Linked DNA regions of Struthio camelus. The protein of the gene in region 1 binds, or shares a complex with, the protein of each later gene. Links are inferred from orthologs where the notes say so. Each region holds a gene or a part of one and is shown in the gene's direction. Other genes may lie near its edges.

Region 1 (3,747 bases):
AGGCGGCCCGCTCGCCGACCCCCCGGGCGGCGCAGGGAGACGGTTACCTGGGCCCGGGGGCGAGGCAGGGCGGCGCGGCACCAGGGGGGGCCGCCCGCGCCCCGCCGCGGCTGTAGCGCCGCAGCACCCGGCCGCGGCCGGTCGCCATAGCGAGCTCCGCCGCCGCTGGGCGGAGGGAGGGGAGCGGCGGCTGCGCGGGGGCCGCGCAGCGTCTAAGATGGCGCCTGATAGGGAGCGTTGCTAGATGGAAAAACAATTAATCTCTCCCTGAGCTGCTGGTTGTTTTAGGACCTGCGGCAGGAACTCGTGTGAGTTCCCAGGCAGCGCCTCCGTTTGTTTAGAGCAAGCCGTTATTTGAGCGTTTCCTACAGTTGCTTCGCGGAACAGTGACAGTAAGACGCCGCAACGTATGAACTCGACCTTCCCCGTTAAATTAACGCCCGTTTTCCGCTAACGATTCGTTAAGTTCCTTATCGATGTGAAGCTCCTTAGGAAAGGTGCAGCAAAATCTTGTCCGGTAATCTAACTCATCATATTTATTTGCTGAGTGAGATTTTACATATATCTCTCTTACATGTGGCTTATACGTTTGCATGCAGACTCTTGTGATGTATGCGTTTCTTAAAGAAAAACAAGATTAAACACGTGTTCAGGGCAAAACTGACGAATAGGATTTGCTCTGACAGGTGGTTGGCTCCATGACTGCCGGGACACGTACAGATTTTAAATAAGGAGATCTTATTTCCATCAGGTTCTAGAGCCAAAAAAAAAAAACGCACTTGCAAGCAGGATTTAATGAGCAAAAATGATACATTTCATTAGTTTGATTGTTCCTAAACAAAAAACAACAAAAAAAAAAAACCTCTGCACCATACTGGACATTATTGAAAAATCTTCATACCGGGCAAAGCAAAAACAGATTAAAAAAACAAACAACCACAATAACGGCCGCCGGAAGCACACGACGGCCGGCGCGCGCACGCAGCCCCTGACGGTTAACGGCCCTCGGGGGGGGTTGGGCCGCGCCGGGCCGGGCCCGGCCGGGCCGTCGGCGCTTTGCATCGCGGTCGCTGTAGTTACTTTCCTGTGAGTCGTTTTCAGTAGCGGGCGCAAGAGGGAGTTTTTATAAACTACCCTTCCCAGGGCCCGCTGCTACTTTTTCCGAAAGATTTCCGCCGGGACAATGGCGAGGCGCAGCTGTCCGCGAGTAAAGGGGTAACGTGAACTTCTGAAGCGAAGCGCAAGCTGCAGGCCAAAATTGAGAGCAGGAGACCGCACTGATGGTTTTTTAAGGGCGGCTCCCCTGCGGCACCCTGCGTGCCCCTCTTGTAGAGGAGAGGACCCGGGAAGACGGGTCGCGGTGGCACGCAGGAGAAACTTTTAGTTTAGCATAAATCACACTTGGGTAATAGCGTTTTGAAGCCGTCTCTTTTGCCTCAGCATGTTTTCTGCCTCTCTTGTGCGAGCGAGGCAGTGCGGCGAAAAGCTGCAGGTCTCCTCGGGGAAGTGGCTGCTCGCAGCCTCAGGAAGGGTGCTCTCGGCGACCTGGTGCCTGAGGTGGAGGCACCAGCCCCCCCGCAGGGAGCCTGCCCTGCGCCCTTTTGGATTTTTGCAGGATGCAAAACAAAATATCTGGACGCAAGCAGGGGGTCTGAGAGCTGGAAAATCTGGTGGTAATAGCAAACAGATGTCAGTGCAAAGGGATCAAAAACAAGAAACCCTTCTGTCGGCTGCTCAGAAAGGTAAGACGGCCTGTAGTGACTAGTGAGTGGGAATAGTGTGCAATACTTGAAAAGGCTGACCCGTAGGAAATCAGACGTTGTTGCAATTGAGATTTTAGAGCCCCAGAACTCAGGAGCTGAAAAGTTGTGATTCTCAGAAAAAAGGCAAGTTACGCCCTTTTCTTTTTACATTACGCTGTTTCCAGCAATTGACACATTTTAGGGGGTGTGTTACACAAGCAAAATAGAAATTCCGTGGCTTCTTCCGAACACCTTTTTAGTGTTTAAGTCAAGAGCGTGCCACATCTGGGGTAAGATATGGTAACCTCTCCTTTCCATTTTCTAAAGGAAGACCTGTTGCACACAATCCATCTTCGATGCTGCTAAACCAAATTTACTCCTGGTAAAATTGGCAAAGCTCTTTGTTATTGGAAATATTTCTATCATAAATGAGATTTTTACTAGGTGACAGGTAATTCTCCATTTAGCTCAATACTGGCTAATTTATCTTGCATTTTTTTTTCACTCTCTTCTCTCCTCACCTGTTCATCGAGTTAATTAGTCTGCTTGGAACTGCATGCTGCCTGGGTAATTTGCTTCCGCTTCCAGAGACAACTCATGCAGAGTTTACACTGTACTTGTAATATTAGTACAGTGTGATTGAATTTAACAGTTAATTCCAATGGAAAAAAACAGATGAATTCAGCATACAAAGAATTTATATATTAGGCTAGCTGACAAATGGTTCAGCACTCTGAGTAGCTAATGTACAGGAAGCTGATTCCCTGTAAGATCTGCAGCAGTCGGCTAATGTTTCTATGTGGATGACTGAGGAGATCTCTACCTGCACCGTTCAGTTTAGTCCTCTGCTGTCACAGGTACCCCTGTTTTGGTTTTGTTTTTAATGAGCTCAGCAGGCTAACCTTAACATTAGTTACAGTTCTTAACTTGTTAATACATTTTTTTTCTTGAGGATTAAAATCTATTTTAATCTTCAACATAAGTAACAAAAGGGAATAGTTCTCAAACTGTGCACAGAAAAAATTTGCTGTTGAAATGTTACTCGTCCTCCTACTCTTCTGTAATGTCATACTATTCATGGTTAAAGAGTACCAGTAGATGATCTAACCTGTCCTCTGGTATGCAGCAAACCTTTACGTTTCAGCTAGTAGTCCTGCTATTTAGCCTAATAACTTGTGGTTGACACAAATCACCCAGAAAACCACCAAGACTTGACTGATCTGGTCTCACTAGCTTTCTAGCTCTTTAACATTGATTGTAAAGGATAACTTCATCTGGATTAAAATATCCTGCCCAACCACTGCAACAGTAATGAGATATGTTTCAACGTTCTGCCATGCAACAATACTTCCTCTCAGGCTGAAGAGGCAGCAGGGCTTGAGACGGAGTTTTCTCCAGATCACCCAGCCAGCAGGACACATATAGTACCATCTTCCCCTATCTGCTTGAGCTGTTAAGAAACAGATGCTCAATAATGTAGAGCAGGTTGTTTGTCAGAGGAATGGTTGTAGCACCCACAACCTATTTCTAGCTGCTGCTTTCCTACAGCTCCCTCTTTGTTACCTAGCCAGACTGCCTCTCATATAAGTGGCCTTGCATCTGTGGGATCATGGGAAACGAGGCATCCTTTGTTATATGTTGCCACCAGAGCAATTTATTTAACTCATAGATCATTCTGACGGGCTGTGGGGAAAGAGAGGGACTGGATTAAGTTGCTCTGAATGCTGCCCACAGGTGGTATGTTTTGGTGACCTAGCCTAGACATTGAGTGCAGAGTTGAAACGCTTCATTTCACATCACTGTATAACACTAAACTAAAAACGATTTCAGAGACGTGTACAGTGAATATCATGATTTCATCAATCTGGAACATGTCAAAATCTAATTAAGTTGCTTTTTGTACACTGCTACTTAGTTTTCTAAAATCTGTTCCACTTCATCATCTTTAGTTCAGCTGCAGTTGCAACAAAACTTCATGCTTGGGGGTGAAGAGGGATGAAGAAGG
Region 2 (3,747 bases), on another chromosome or scaffold:
CAAAACAGCTGATGTCTTACAGACACAGAAAGAAAGAAAGAGCCAGCAACAGAGTTTAAGTCTACCATTAATTCATAATCTTTCACTCCTAAGCACTATGGTCAAAGCTAACAAATACTTTATAAAGACTTTCCTCACCTATCAAAAACCATAAACGCTCAAGAACTTCGCGCAAGCCACCCACTCTATTTGTGAGGCTGAATGAGGTGCGAAGCACAACATGCAAGAGGAAGAATACGTACAGATTCTTTGTGCTCGGCACTATATGTGGCTCAAACTTGCCATAGTCAAACTCTCTGGCCGTCTTTGTCAGCCTCTGATACTTCTTGCCATTAGTATAAGCCTGCAGCTCCGACATCCTACACGGCATCTCGTGGCCGGTCAGCCTGCATCTCACCTGAAGGAAGACAAGCAGGATAAAAGTGAGGAAAGCACAAGGGATGACGGCCGGGCTGCAGAGGGGAGGGCTCGTACCAGGGCCCTCCTCCCTGATGGCCTCAGTCCCACAGCGGGGAGAAAAACCTCCGGGCCAGGCAGCAACCTGGGGCCGAGCCCAGAGCCCAGGTGCTGGGGTGCCTTCCCCGGTCCCCCCGTGGCTCTCAGGGCAGGCGGCCCCGCTCCCCCCTCACGGGAGCCGGCTCCAGTCCCGGTCCCCTCCGCCCCCCGGGCTCCTCACGGAGGCGGCCGCAGTCCCGCTGCCCCCTCAGGGCCCCCTCGCAGGAGGCGGCCCCTCAGCCCCGCAGCGCAGGCCTCACCTTGCCCGGCTCCGCCAGGCCGAGGAGCGGGTGCTGCCGCAGGAAGAGCCGGACCTCCTGGGGCACCTCGGCCATGGCCGCGGCCGGGGAGGGGCAGGGGCGGCCGCCGCCGCCGCCATCGCCGCCGGGCATCTCCGCGCGGCCCCGCGCCTCGGCCTCGCCGCCCGGCGCCCGCATCATAGAGACGCTCTGCTAGACAGGAGCTCGCCTATACTTCCGGTCCGGGCCACGCCGGAAAGCAGCCGGTGGCATAGAGAGAGGCGGCTAGAGAGGAGCTTACCCGGCACGACCGGCGGGCGGTCTAGGCCGGAGGCGGGCGGGCGGCGAGGGGCCGGCGGCGGCGTTGCCATGGCGACCTGGCGGCTGCTGCGGGAGCCCCGGGCCCAGGTGCGGCGGGGGGCGGCGGCCCGGCGCCCCCCTCGGTGCCCCCCTCGGTGCCCTCGGGGGAGGCGGCCCCGGTCCGGGCCTGGTGTCCCCCTGCGGGACGCCACCAGGTGGATTGGTTAAAAACCGATCCTTTTGGGAAAAAAAAAAACAAACCACGGTTTGGTAGCGCAGAGAGCGTTTGTCGCGGTCTAGTGAGCGGCGTAAGCGGGGTGGAGTTTCATTTCCTCGGAGTTACAGCCTAAACTGTGGTGCTTGGCCGGTGGTTGCCCAGAGGAGGCTTAAATACAGCAGGAAACGAAACCTGCCACCCTGGAGGCAGCTGGCACCGTCTCGGGGCAAACGTCGCCGAGCGGAGTCACTGCAAAGGGTCGTTTTTGTTTCCCGTAGGTGTCCTGTGGCTTGGTCAGACGAGCATGTTTCGGATGTCCTCTCACTGAAGCGCGTTCTGGTCTGCTGCAGCGCACTAAAGGTAAGGAAAGGTTTAGCCGAGGCGTCCGCCCCGTTTCTGCCTTACTCCAGCCGTGACGTTTTCTGCGGGACTTTGGCACCTTTTCTGCAATACGAAGCCGCTTCCTCGTTCTGGTTTTCTCCAGACCTTTGCTTGAGGCCGTGCAGACCGCGAAGCTCTACAGCAGCCGCTGGCGCATCTGAAGAGGGTGTCTTACTCAAGTGGGGCCTTCTCCTTGTCCCTCTGACCACCTTCTGCCTTGGCACATGGCAGGTACAAATAAATATTTCGTTCTTCCATGAGAGAAGAGCTTAAGGGCTGTCTGGTGGTTCCATCCTCGGCTGTTTAATGTGAGCTAGTTCACACCACAGCCAGGGTAAAGATTGGAAGATACTTTTTCATATATAGTTTTCCTAGTTACCGTTTGTGAGTTTCATGTAAGTCTTTGAATGAGAGATTCATTTATTTTACTTTTATGTCAGTATTTCTTCTCTCCCCAAATGAAGTTAGTAGCCTCCATTTTTGAATCTGCAATTATGTTGCTTTAGGCCACATCTGAAGAGAAAATACCGATAAAAGAAGCAGACTCTGTTTTCAGCCTTGCCAGGTTATTACACTGCTCTGTTCTACCAGTGGGAATTACTCTGTGTATTTCCAGGTTCAGCGACGAAAGTGGAAATTGGATTTGATTGCGCAGTTGGCGTCAAGAATTGCAGCAGAGCCCATCCCTCTGACATTAGAGTAAGGAAGCTGAGATGTTGCAGTTTGCTGTCTGCCAAGTACTGCCAGTGTGCTGGGGGTACTAGTTATGGTCCCTACGCTCTACAACATGTAGTCTATGTTAAACTAAACTGCATGCAAATGAAGAAATGCAATGGGAATCAGAATGCGCAAGCAAATTCACAGGATAGACAGTCGTGTTCGTTCTCTTGTTTCAAATGCATATTGCAAACACCTCCCTGTGGGATACTCTAAAGGCATCTAAAGGGGTCAAATCTCTGTTCTGGAGACTGTGGTATGTAATTCAGCCTGGAGAAAGAGGGTTTGGGAGTTGTTGCCCAAGATGTCCCAGAGGAGGGGGTTACTGAGCACCGCTGAAGAAAGATTGGTTGTTGCTGTACAGTATTCCTGCAGCAAGGGAGTCTTAGAACGATAGCAAGCTCTGCCCCAAGTGCAGAGCAGTTGGGTCAGATACAAGAGAGAGTTTTAAGGTCACTTTAGCCATATGGTACAACTGTCAACACAGTTCAGTAGTTCTATTTCACAGTCTGGGATGGGAAAGAAATGCTCCCTGTTGGCATGATGTACACGCAGTGTGTCACCTGCTGTCTCGCTGTGTGCATCGTGTGCATCACTGAAGTGGTATTCAGTTACAGATATCATGGAAAAGAGCTGTGCTCTAGATGCTCATGATCTTAGTGATTTGACTTACTATGATAGTAACAAAATCTTAAGCCAAGCTGCTTATACCAGGAGGTACTTGTCTTCTCTTTCTGTTTGCCAGCTGGACCTAGAGAAAATCATGGGGAGAAGGAGAATCCCATAATAAAATTCCCTGGTTTGATCTGTCTACCACAGCCGTGATTTTGTTTTCACCTTGTTCCATGCAGCCCTATGGAACTGAAAGAATTAGAGTACAGGCCTGTAAAGGTCCGAGGGCATTTTGACCACTCCAAGGAGCTCTATATTTTGCCACGGTCACTTGTGGACCCTGAACGAGAAGCGAGAGAAGCCGGACGGCTGACATCCAACCCAGAAAACGGAGCAAATGTAGTTACTCCTTTCTACTGCACAGACCTAGGGTAAGTGTGTTCATGCACAAGCCTGAGAACATGTGTATGTGTAGTTAATTAAAGTCATGCTTTATCCGAGCTGAATCTTAGTGGCTGGGTTTATGTGAAGCACTCACTGTCCTTTAAAAGGTCTCTGTCTCTCACAACCTGTTAAGTCGCAGAGGCTTGCTTCCAAGTTGTATCTGAAATCCCTTATAACGTGCACTCAAATGACAAAAAAGTGGCACCAAACATATGGGTTGCTTCTTTTTTTCGCTACCAAGCTCTAGGCAGCGGCAGGAATAATGAACAATTTCCTTTCTCTAATGAGCTGTATTTGTCCTCTTTATGTAACTCTAGCGTCACGATTTTAGTCAACCGAGGA
Region 3 (3,747 bases), about 48 Mb from region 1:
AGAAAACAAACTGAGAAACGTTTGGTTCAACTTCTCTCCGCCAGGAAGCTCATACAATAAATAGCCAAGCATGTATGCTGTAGTAAGAAATAGCAGCAGAGGACACTCTCAAATTGGGACAGTCGTCATTTTAATTTCAGATGAATCAAGGGTTCTGTGAGCCTGGTACTCAGGACCTTGTAATCTGGTAACATTCACATACACTTTACTGAACGCTCAAGCCTAAACGCTGATCTCAGTTACACCGCTAGAAAGCCTACTAAATACGCTCCAAGAGTGAGTGACACCAGGTTATGCGGTACAACGATGGGGGATTATTTAGAGTGAAAAGATAAGCAGAAGAGAGCGGTAATTAAATTAAACACGCCTATCTCTTTGTGGAATCAGTTCCCAGGCAGGATCTAAAATTCAAACCCAAGTCTCTCTCGACTGCTGAAAAGATGCTTACCGAAACTGTTTATTTTACTCTAACGCGTACGGGTGGCTTTTTAAAATATTCCGTTTTGGGGCTTGCCCTGGAAAAATAATAAAGTAGCACAAAAAAAGAATGACTTCCAGAACAAGGTAGGAAGTTTGTGTTTTGGATTATTGTTTCTGAACAGGCAGGATTTTGGATACACAGCAGCCTGCACTTTGCCGCGGAAGTTGGCCGAAAGGCGCAGCTGTCTCTACACAGGCTTGCAAGACTCTCCGCTGCTAACTCTCCTTGCCAGCAAGTATTATACCCTGCTGCCCTTGAATAGCACAAGGCAACTGAGGAAAAACAAAGCAAACTTACAGTGTTTTAACCAGATAGTCACAGGCAACAGAAAAACCCTTTTCCGCAGATCACCACCCCCCCCCCCGAGAAAGCAAGGAGCCCACTCAAGCCGCAGCCCCCACTCATTTCATCACCAGGGCCAAGGCCACCCTCCTCCGGCCGCAGCGAACGGGCGAGGCACGGACCGAGGAAACCCCCAGCCCAGCCCCCGAGGAGCAGGACCCTAGGAAAAATATCCCCTTAGTTTAAACACAGAAGGAGCCAGGGCCGGCGGGGCGGTGGCCGCCGCGGCAGCCACCTTCCCGCCGGCCGGCCCTCCCCTTCCCTCCGCGCCGCCCTGCAGCGCCCCCTGGCGGCGTCGGAGCCCGCGGCAATGGCGGCTCCCACGGCCCACGCGTGAGCCCTTCTGTCGACCGCCGCGCCGTGAGTGGGGGGGGGCAGCGGGGGCCGGGGCGCGGTGAGGGCGGTTACGGCCGTTAGGGCGGGGCCCCAGCCCCCTCCCTTGGCGCGCTCGGCGCTGCACAAAATGGCGGCCGCGGGGCCAGCTCTGGAGGGGAGCTGTGGGGAGCGGGGGTGGAGGGGCAGCGAGGGGGCTGAGACGGGGGGGGGGGGGGAGTTTACATTCAAGGCGATCGCACACCTGAAAAGCAGTGTTGAATGCAAGGAACCGCGGGCGTGTTTAAAAAAGGCAATAGCGGTGCAGATGCAAGTGAGATAACCTAGGCCCGGAACAGCTGTCCAGCCAGGTGTCCCAGTTCCTGCGAAGCGCGCAGGCTTAGCCGAGTAAGAGGATGAGGCAGCGCAGTAATTACCACGCACATCATCTCACAGCGCGATTACTAGAACAGTTTTAATGGTAATTTTATATTTAAATACATCTTAACTGTTTTTAGAAACGGTGCACGAGGCAGATGCATCTCGTAGGCTTTAAGCAAAAGCCAATAAGCCGAAAACGGTTGAGTAATTATAAAGCTCTGAGGACTGGCTTCCTCTAAGGCTGGTTTCGGCTACTTACATAAATATAAGTATCATTTCCAGAGGCCGCGCTGCCCAGGGCCTGTGCTGGCGAGGATGAGCTGGAGAAGGCGCAGGATGCAGTCGCTTGGGCCCCAGTACGCAGAGGGCGACGGGGGTGCGGGGACACGTGAATTTAAAGCAAGTCAGCCGTGGTGACTCTTGTCTACCTACCGAGAAACCTCGGGCCGGATTTACTTTGTCACTCACATACAGCTTGAGAAGTGATTGATGCTCCTTAAGCATGTATTTAATATTCATTCTGATGCCACAAAGGGAAAAAATTGCTATTTCTCCCCCCCCCCCCTTTTAAAAATCCAAGCCCTCCTGTTAAGATCACTCTTGTCACTAAACCAGACTAGTTTCCCCCATCCCTTTTTACTGTACATTTTATCATTTTAAAACGTTTAATATTTTACACAGCAGCATCTCTGAGGTTTGGTGTACTTCATTCATTTCTTCCTAGTGAACCAGATGGGAGACCTGATCTGATTTGAAACTAACTCAGCAAACTCCCCCTGCCTCCCGGCCTGCCTGGTTTTAACCCAGACCAATTACTTTCTGCTGATTTACATGAACTCTTAAAGCACCATAAGCGAGTGGGTAGTGCAGAGTGGGCAGGATTGCCTGATTTTGATAAAGTATTGAACCATACACGTGAGCCTCCCCCCTCAGGCCAGCTTCACAGGTTGGAGTAATAGCAGGCTGTCACAGCAAGATGGCCCTGTTCCACTGCCCCAGCCACTGCACGGTTTGTATCAAAAACCAAGCGGATCCCTAAATCTGAAAGTTGATTTTCCGTTGTATTTGCAGCTTGCAAAACCCTGCAGCTATGCAGTCCAGCAGGAGGGAGGGAGAAGGGGCGAGAGCACCTCTTTCAGCAGAAACAGCCATGCTTAGGTGCTGCATTAAACTGACTCTTAGCCTTTTGGTTTGAGTCTATGCTTTGACTCACAAATTTGAGTGGTAAACCAAGATTTCATTTCATGCAGTAGCCCATGTTGAAGTTTTTCATACTTGAATGGAGGTTCACGTAGAAAAGACAGATGTGTGCATGTTGATGCAGAGATGACAAAATACTGCATTTTTGGCAGCCTGCTGCATCAAGATTTTTTTTTCTTAGTTAACACTTGAAAAGAATTGCTGGTCCTCAACTTCTTAACTTTTCTTTGCATTTTATGTTATATGTTCACTGGCTGATTTTGGATATTTCAACATCTTAACAATTGACACTTTGCTAGTTTAAGATAACATAATAATTTATTACATTTATTTCCCCTAAGACAGAAGGGATTCTCACCAAGAGGGGAATGAAAAGGTTAGTCAAATGTAATAAAGTGATTTTTTATTGTTAGATGAGCTTTAATTTGGATTCCTGTAAATTGAATGAAAAAAAAACATGGAGAATGGAGATAAGGCGCTTTTGTGATTAGAAGAAAAATAAAACCGAAACCCTTCATTACTATCTTGCAGCTTTTTCTAAGTAGCACTTTGCTGTTGCAGTTCTGGAATTAATGAAGTGTGCATGGATTATTGCAGTACATATTTCACTTCAAAGCTGGTTATTGCCTAGAAGTTGGAGGCTCTGCATGGCTGTTGAAACATACTTATCTTGGCCACTTTTCTAATACAAGTTTTGGGGTTTTGCCTCAATGCCGGAGTAGCAAAAAGAGTAAAATAAATCCTTACATTTGCAGATCTGACCCCAGCATAACAGGAGGAAGAACTGATGCTGGGGGTTTTCACTAGACTTAGCATATTATAGCTGAGTATTGTCACCCACCCAAAGGGACAGGCATACGCATGTCTTCTCCAATAACATGGCACTTGACCTTTAGTTTATACCTGCCACAGGCTACTCAACACAGATGAATGTGACTTACCTACTAAACGCCAGAGCTGCATTCAAGCATTGCTATTTCACAACAGTTTCTCTTATTTGACCCAGAATAACTTACCTAAGGAAGTCTGCA

What was found. The genes of interacting proteins can lie anywhere in the genome.
Region 2: TIMM21 (region 1) and SURF1 share a complex: the UniProt entries of both Homo sapiens proteins name them as parts of the MITRAC (mitochondrial translation regulation assembly intermediate of cytochrome c oxidase complex) complex. The link is inferred for Struthio camelus from reciprocal best matches to the Homo sapiens genes TIMM21 and SURF1.
Region 3: TIMM21 (region 1) and COA1 share a complex: the UniProt entries of both Homo sapiens proteins name them as parts of the MITRAC (mitochondrial translation regulation assembly intermediate of cytochrome c oxidase complex) complex. The link is inferred for Struthio camelus from reciprocal best matches to the Homo sapiens genes TIMM21 and COA1.

Annotation. Positions count from the first base shown.
Region 1 is NC_090943.1:108,128,314-108,132,060, reverse strand, and holds the start of TIMM21 (mitochondrial import inner membrane translocase subunit Tim21), read left to right. Parts: upstream 1-1,022; 5' UTR 1,023-1,441; coding exon 1,442-1,742; intron 1,743-3,747. Other genes in the region: FBXO15 (F-box only protein 15), read right to left, coding at 48-148. UniProt on the Homo sapiens protein: Participates in the translocation of transit peptide-containing proteins across the mitochondrial inner membrane.
Region 2 is NC_090961.1:5,153,200-5,156,946, forward strand, and holds the start of SURF1 (surfeit locus protein 1), read left to right. Parts: upstream 1-978; 5' UTR 979-1,103; coding exon 1,104-1,142; intron 1,143-1,529; coding exon 1,530-1,611; intron 1,612-1,735; coding exon 1,736-1,863; intron 1,864-2,248; coding exon 2,249-2,331; intron 2,332-3,200; coding exon 3,201-3,392; intron 3,393-3,722; coding exon 3,723-3,747. Other genes in the region: SURF2 (surfeit locus protein 2), read right to left, coding at 1-15, 243-397, 756-935. UniProt on the Homo sapiens protein: Component of the MITRAC (mitochondrial translation regulation assembly intermediate of cytochrome c oxidase complex) complex, that regulates cytochrome c oxidase assembly.
Region 3 is NC_090943.1:60,050,443-60,054,189, reverse strand, and holds the start of COA1 (cytochrome c oxidase assembly factor 1 homolog), read left to right. Parts: upstream 1-1,112; 5' UTR 1,113-1,183; intron 1,184-1,775; exon of another isoform or gene 1,776-1,967; intron 1,968-3,732; exon of another isoform or gene 3,733-3,747. UniProt on the Homo sapiens protein: Component of the MITRAC (mitochondrial translation regulation assembly intermediate of cytochrome c oxidase complex) complex, that regulates cytochrome c oxidase assembly.